2 linked regions of the Coturnix japonica genome follow. The protein of the gene in region 2 purifies or fractionates together with the protein of the main gene of each other region. This does not show direct contact. Links are inferred from orthologs where the notes say so. Each region holds a gene or a part of one and is shown on either strand. Other genes may lie near its edges.

Region 1 (3,913 bases), on a different chromosome or scaffold from region 2:
GGCCACTAAGATGGTGAAGGGCCTGGAGCATCTCCCCTATGAGAGACTTAGGGAACTGGGTCTGTTTAGCCTTGAGAAAAGAAGGCTGAGAGGGGACTTGATCCAGGCTTATAAATACCTGAGGTGTGGGAGCCATAGTAGTGAGGCTGGTCTCTTTTCAGTAGTGCGTGGGGACAGGACTAGGGGTAATGGTATGAAAGTACAGCATAGGAAGTTCTGCACGAATGTGCAGAAGAACTTCTTTACAGTGAGGGTGACAGAGCACTGGAACAGGCTGCCCAGGGAGGTGGTGGAGTCTCCTTCTCTCGAGATATTCAAGACCTGCCTGGATGCCTACCTGTGTGACATGGTGTAGGGAGCCTGCTTTGGCAGGAGGTTGGACTCGGTGATCTCTAGAGCTCCCTTCCAACCCCTACAATTCTGTGATTCTGTGTGAAACAAAACAGCAGCAGTGAACTAAGGGAGAAAAGTAGTTAACTAAATATGATAATGAATGTGAGATAATATAGTATATATAATAATATTTGCTTTCAGTTCTCACTGCTCTAGTCTGTTATCAGTAGACCACAAATAACACAACTCTCCCCACACCAAGCGTGCTTTGCCTGAGTCTAACGGGCAGGCTTTGCCCCCATCCTTATCTCAACCCACAAGCCTTCTTTCATCATGACTACCCCCACTCCTGAGCTATTCACACAATCATACAATGACCTGGGTTGAAAAGGACCACAGTGATCATGTAGTTTCAACCCTGCTGATGTGTGTAGGGTTGCCAACCACCAGCCCAGGCTGCCCAGAGCCACATCCAGCCTGGCCTTGAATGCCTGCAGGGATGGGGCACCCACAGCCTCCTTGGGCAACCTGTTCCAGTGCGTCACCAACCTCTGTGTGAAAAACTTCCTCCTCATATCTAACTTAAACCTTCCCTGTCTCAGTTTAAAACCATCCCCCTTGTCCTATCACTATCCACTCATAAACATCCATTCCCCCTCCTGTTTATACGCTCCCTTCAAGTACTGAAGGTCACACTGAGCTCTCCCCACCACAGTCCGTTCATCCACCCAACGCAGGGTCTGAGGGACCTGAGGTAAGTAACAGAGATAACGGCCATAGCACAGACCGCACAGCGCCACAATGATGGAGAACGGCGGTTACACAACCAGCCCGACCGTTGGAGGTGTCCCGCTTTCCCATTGGCCCATGAGACCGCACCGCTGATTGGCTCTCCCTCCGCACCGCCCACTTTCCCTCTTGATTGACAGCACCTCGCGCTGTAACTGCGCGAGAAGACCAGAGAACGCGCTGTGATTGGCCCGCGGCGCTGACGGACTCGGTATATAAACCCCGCGGGAGCATCGATCCCGTTAGCCCTCGGGTAGTTGTAGGCGGGGTTGTTGGTGCGCGCCCTCTCGTGCTGCTGAGGGAACATGGCGACGCTGAAGGCCGTATGCGTGATGAAGGGGGACGGGCCCGTGGAGGGGGTCATCCACTTCCAGCAGCAGGCAAGGCCCGGCAGCGGGGGGGGATCTGATCGTACTCTGACCGGCAGCGGTGCTGAGTCATCGTGCGACCGCGGGTCGGTGCGGGATGGGGGCGGGGCCGGTCATGGTGCCTGTGGGGGAGGGAGAGCAGCGGGTTGGGGTTGGTTTGAGTTAAGGAAAGGGGCTGCACCACAGGGCGGTGGGTATGGGGCGGGATGCACGGGGCTGTGGGCACGGCCCCAGTGCTGGAGATCAGGGAGAGTCTGGACAACGCTCTCAGGCATACGTTGTGATGTTCAGGGCTCGCTTCCAGCTCAGGTTATTCTGCACTGGTAGCTGGTTTTTGTTATTGACCTGGAAGCTTTGCTTGTAATGAGGCTCTGTGATGCTTTAGTGGTGTCAGTAGTAATCAGCTCTTTGTGTTACAGGGTAGCGGACCGGTAAAGGTTACTGGCAAAATTACTGGCTTGTCTGATGGAGATCACGGCTTCCATGTGCATGAGTTTGGGGACAACACAAATGGTAAGGTGCCTGGCCAAGCTGCTGAGTTACAGCTACAAGGAGCTGCTTCTAGTGGCACAGCAGCAACCATCTTCAGCATGCGTATGTTTTATGACTGCACATTTGAAACCATGATTCCTAAGGCACATTTGAAGCACATTTGAAACCATGATTCCGGTGGTGCAGTGGTAGAAGTGCCGCTCTGCTACACAGGAGGCTCGAATCCCGGGGGTTGGACTTGATAATCTCTAAGGTCCCTTCCAACCTGCATGAGACTGTGATACTGTGAACTGATTCTTACAACATTCTTTGAACGCATTTAGGCTACTCTTCAAGGTCTGGTATGTCAAGCACTGGCCTAAGTACTTCTTCTGACCTAGTTTTTAACCTGGTGTTAAGAAATGGAGAAACTTTCATCTGGCAGAGATTATTCTGGAATGAGTCACGTGGATTTGTTGAACTTGGAGTAATGTTTGTGTGTTTATAGATCCAGCTGGAGAGTAGCTGTTTCATCATTAATGATTTTAACTTCCTCTCACTGTAGGAGAACTAAGTTCACATGCAGTATAAGCAATGCCTTTATCTGCTTATTGTGATGAATCTACTTTTGGTGGTTGTTCTTTTTCAGGGTGTACCAGTGCAGGTGCTCACTTCAATCCTGAAGGCAAGCAGCACGGTGGACCAAAAGATGCAGATAGGTGAGTGTCATGGGCATGACCTAATACTGTGCAGTGCAGTAGTTGTGTAAGTTCAGCTTGAGAGGCTGATGTGTGACTAATTGCTAGGATAGTGCTAGAGGAAAACTAGCAGTTCCAGCAGGACTTCTGAGGGCAGTTAGGAAGGTACTTGGTGATCATACAGCAGTGCTTTAGATACCCTGGCTCTAAGAGTGTGTGCAAAATGCAGTCTTTGGCGCTCTGGTCTTATCATAGCCTGGGGTGAAGGGGAAATAATAAGGGCTGTTAGTGAATGTTCATTAGGAGATAAGTGAGAAGGGGAAGGAAGGTCATGTACTAATACCTCTCGTGGTGCCTTGCTTCTCTTTTGGAGCTAGCTATTGACAGCAGTGGCCCTATAAATGTCTTGTGTTGAGCTGTGTGTAGGCTTGTCATGTGGTCTGTGAGGATCCTCACTAGGGCTTTGGGGAGGCTGCAAGATGGGCACAACACTGAGTGCCTGGCACAGTGGATGTTCATTTGGTGTGCTGGGTTTTTCTTAACACCTTACCGTAGGTACCATGCTGCCTATGGGATGTATTCTGTAGGGGTTGTGTGCTGGCTGTAAGTACTGGTCTGTTGGCACTGAATGCCTCTGCCCTTGCTTCATAGCCCTCTGTCAGAGGAAGCTGAGACTGAATTCTTACTGGGAAGCAGTTAAATAGCCCAGTTACCTTTGGGGGACCTTTAGTGTCTGAGGGGTTTGTGTGGTGTCTGAGACCACTGAGCAGTTGTTTCAGTAGTATGCTTCTGGGTTCTGAGACTGGGAAGGTGCTGTTGTCATGCTGGTCTTTAGATCTTGTGCAAGTCTTAAAGGTGACTTGATCATTCGGAGGTAGGTTCTGAACAATCACTGTGGTTAATCTGGCCGTGTTGGTCATGGTTTTAGGTACTTTGCCTGTACCTGCAGCTTCTGTTATTGATCAGTTACTTGTCAGATGAAGTAAGTCGAGTGGTAGGTGTCTGGATGAAAGCAGTGTGCAGTGGTAGCTGAAGGGCTTCACAGGCAGCCGGGTGCTCTAATGCTAAAGGTCAGTTACGCGAGCAGCGTGCTTCTATTGATTCTCTGTCAGATCCTGCTGCTGATGTAACCTGCCTGCTCAAGCAGCTGTAGGCTGGGGACTCTGTGTGAAGGTTTAAGAACTAGGCCGTGCTTCTGTAAGGCTGGAGCTGAAACCAGTACTAAAATCTCCTAGAAGCTTAAATAAGCACCCA
Region 2 (3,913 bases):
ACATTTAAATAGCTTGCAGGCCCAGGCTACTTAGAAAAAGGAAGGCAGAGTAACACTGAGAGCTTCCTTAGTCTAGAGCACGTGTTCCAAGCTGAGACTGCTAGCTGAGGTATCCCTGTCCTCCTCTTGAAGGAGCTGGGAGAGGAAAGCAAAGCAAGCACTTCCAATTCACCATCAGAACACAAGAAGGCATTTGGAAAGATGCTTATTATTCTGTTTTATCTACTTGTGTTTTCAAGTTTCTGGTATTTCTGTTGACATTGGTAGCAGTACAACAAAGCCGAGTACAGAACACAGTTCTCACTGTTCTGTTATTTGATAAGTCAGGATTTGGCAGTGGGACGACATGGGAACTGTTGTGAATTTGTGTGCCCTTTCAATTGTTTTCTCTGTTTTTGGAGAACGGTACGTTATCTGCAAAGGAATTGTAGCTCAGCTTGGAACTCATTTTTGTAACTTTCGGGGAGGAAATAACACAGAGCCTCGGTTTTGTGTGCAACATTTTACTTTGTTGGCAGTTTCATCTGATTTTGTTTCTTAACTGTGTGACTGTGCTCACTGCTGCGCAGCGGAGAAACTTTACAAGGTGACGGTAATTCTCAGCTAGGGTGCTTTAACTGTAGTAGCAGCTCATGCAGCTCTTTTTCTTCCTCTCCAAGGCTGGAAGTACAAGCAGATGTACAGAAAGAGCGCTACAGCCTGAGTGGAGAATCTGGCACGGTGAGCCTGGGAACAGTTAGTGATAATGCCAGTACCAAAGCAATGGCAGGATCCATTCTCAACTCCTATATCCCTTTGGACAGGTAAGAGAAAGGTGAAAAGAGAAGGTTAAGCCTTGCTTACTAAAGGTATCCTAAGCATGCCTCAGCGGTTCTGTCTAAAATTCTGAAGAAACAGTTTTTTTGTTAGAAATGGAATTCCACACAATTGCTTCTGTTTGCCAAGCTTACTTCCAAAGAGCAGCACAATCTTTGTAGCTCAGTAAAGTGTTTCATTTTCAGGCTGCCTGCTTCTGTTTGGGCTGTTTACTTGGTGAACAAAAACCGGAGACGTTTCTCTCACTTGCTTTTGCAGTGTATTTTGGAAAGCTGCAAGAGTTTGTTCCACCGTGTCAGCTGCGTGTTGTAGGTAACTGCTCACACTCAGGTTTGTTCTTGTTGCAGGGAAGGCAACAGCATGGAAGTGCAAGTGGATATTGAATCAAAGCCAGCCAAGTTCAGACACAACAGCGGAAGCAGCAGTGTTGATGATGGCAGTGCTGCAGGTCGGAGCAACGCTGCGTGTTCGTCGGCCGGCGTGCCAGAAAGTAAATCGAGTGCCACCAAGTGGTCCAAAGAAACAACAGCGGGGAAAAAGTGCAAAGGGAAGCTGAGAAAGAAGAGTAGCATGAAGATAAATGAGACAAGAGAGGACATGGATGCTCAGCTGTTGGAACAACAAAGCACAAACTCCAGTGAATTTGACTCTCCCTCTCTTAGTGACAGTATTCCATCCGTAGCAGATTCTCACTCGAGTCATTTTTCTGAGTTCAGTTGCTCAGATATGGAAAGTATGAAAACTTCCTGTAGCCACGGTTCCAGCGACTATCACACTCGCTTTACCACGGTCAGTGTGCTCCCTGAGGTGGAGAACGACCGCTTGGAAAACTCCCCACAGGCGAGTGGAATCGCTGCGCCTGTCCCAGCAGCCGCAGGCACCGATGTTCAGCAGCTGAGTTACATCGCTGAGGAAAGCATTAATAATGGATCTGCAACAGACCTAGGTCCAGGTGTTGATGAAACTCTGAAAGAAGCGAACAACAACCATTCACAGCGTGCTGCGGAATTAAGCACTGCTATTCAGACTGAAATTTAAGCCAAAAAATGCTGCAAAAACACATTTACCACTAATGAGCCCTGTCTGAAAGCTGGTTTAATTACGTGCGGCAACTTCCGTAAGCTTCAGGTGACCGGCAGAAGCGAGGTTCTGATACAGCTGCATTTTATATACCTGTCCGTTAAGGCAGAGTTACTTCATACAGATCTTAGACCTGTGTGAAGGGACATGAAGGCTTTAACAAGTGCATTACAGCAGTACAAATACGTCCATGTTTTATTTTTTATTTTTGCCACAACTTTGCTTGAAAGCGTATACTTGGTGTATTTAGATGAAAATTGGGTAATTCTCGATATGGTAAATGCTAAAATAAATAATACGTCCTGCACTGTTGGCTCAAAAAATAGGGGATGTGGGATAAGTGGGTGTTAGCTGAGCATTAGTGACTTACAACCAAGAACTGTAAGGGAAGCAGAAGTTTTGCAGAGACCTGTACAAACGTCTTTCAGCAGTGAATATCCCCAGTGATGGTTAACGGTTTATAACTGGACACGCTGTTTGGAATGGATCGCGTACCTCCAGGTGGTGCGGCCCTGTGTCAGGAGCTCTGAGCGAGGGTAAGGCGTCTTACAGCATTCTGAAGCAGATGAAATTGGTACATAATACACAGTGGGATGGAGACAGTGGGCTCACTTATTTATCCACACAACCAACCGTGTGGCAGATGAGGCCGCCGCGTATTGTGTAAAACCTGGAAGGTAACGATCCATTGATTGATGAGCATCACAGAGAAGCAGATGCAGCCACCTTTCATGAGGGGGGAATGCGGTGCCCCGTCAATCCTCGGTGCCTTGGAAAAGACTGGGTGTGAAGTGCCTGGTTGGTGGAGGATTTTCAGAATGTCCTCTTTGGCCACCTTCGATCCTCATAGAAAATCCTAGCGAGTAAATGACTGGTAGAGAACTGTATGATAGCGGAGTATTAGCCTACCAAAGACTCACTCAGGCTTTCGTGAATGATTTCTTTCACGTGACATCTCTTTGCAAGACGTGCATCTTCAGTCCCAGAGTTGGAGTGCAGGGCAGTGACTGCCCGGCTGCCACCGTGGCGTCCAGACATGCTGGCTTACTTTTCTTCTGCGTACAGAAGATGTACAGATAAACACGAGCTGAAGTTGGCCAAAGCGCCTGCACTGTCCAATGTTGTTTTTTCTTTTCTTTCTTTTTGCTATGTAAATCACTAAAAATGAGGGGGAGGGGGAAAAAAAAACAGTTGTGAATATCAGAAAAACAGTTACCAATGTTCTGTCTTGTGTTCAGTGTATTGCCATTATGGTGCTACTGGGAGTTGGGTTGGATGAAAAGAAAACGCCGTGTGCCGCGGTTCTCTTCCACGACTTATCCTCACCAGTTTCATTACATGCTTATAACACTAGTGCCAGTTACGTCATTGGGTAATGCTTGTTACGGTATTTGTATATTTGCAATTCAGTTTTGCTCAGTAATATGCGTGTAAACTGCATATCTGAAATAAATGTCTATGTACTGAGTTGGAGTGGTCCTGTCAGCGTGCAGGCGGCCTCACGGAGCCTCTGCTGTGTGAGGAAAGGGTGAGAGCTGGGGCTGCTCATCCTGGAGAAGGGAGGGCTGAGAGGGGATTCCATCAGTGCTCATAAATATCTGAAGGGTGGGAGTCAAGTGGATGGGGCCAGGCTCGTTTTGGTGGCACCCAGCAACAGGACAAGGGGCAACAGGCACAAAGTGGAACGTGAGCTTCTTCACTGTGATGCTGACAGAGCACTGGTACAGGCTGCACACACATGCTGTGGAGTCCCCACCCCTGGAGATACTCAGAGCCCACCTGCACACTTACCTGTGCGGCTGCTGCAAGGAGCTGCTGTAGCAGGGTGTTGGGCTGGGTGATGCCCAGGGGTCCCCTCCAACCACTGCCATTCTGTGGAGCCTTTGCTTTTCATCTCAGTATCAGTGCAGGAATCCTGATGTGATTTTTCAGGCCTGTGTAGAAGCTCTCTGTAATGGTCATGCACTGAAGTGTTAGCTGATTGCTTTAGGCAGGAGGATGAATTTGGAGTAAATTG

What was found.
Region 1: the proteins of RNF19A (region 2) and SOD1 purify together in Homo sapiens (affinity purification with western blotting, with the first as the bait; 3 studies listed by BioGRID). This does not show direct contact. The link is inferred for Coturnix japonica from reciprocal best matches to the Homo sapiens genes RNF19A and SOD1.

Annotation. Positions count from the first base shown.
Region 1 is NC_029516.1:94,144,642-94,148,554, forward strand, and holds the start of SOD1 (superoxide dismutase [Cu-Zn]), read left to right. Parts: upstream 1-1,287; 5' UTR 1,288-1,427; coding exon 1,428-1,502; intron 1,503-1,909; coding exon 1,910-2,003; intron 2,004-2,610; coding exon 2,611-2,680; intron 2,681-3,913. UniProt on the Homo sapiens protein: Destroys radicals which are normally produced within the cells and which are toxic to biological systems.
Region 2 is NC_029517.1:116,328,031-116,331,943, reverse strand, and holds the end of RNF19A (E3 ubiquitin-protein ligase RNF19A), read left to right. Parts: intron 1-659; coding exon 660-803; intron 804-1,163; coding exon 1,164-1,854; 3' UTR 1,855-3,364; downstream 3,365-3,913. UniProt on the Homo sapiens protein: E3 ubiquitin-protein ligase which accepts ubiquitin from E2 ubiquitin-conjugating enzymes UBE2L3 and UBE2L6 in the form of a thioester and then directly transfers the ubiquitin to targeted substrates, such as SNCAIP or CASR.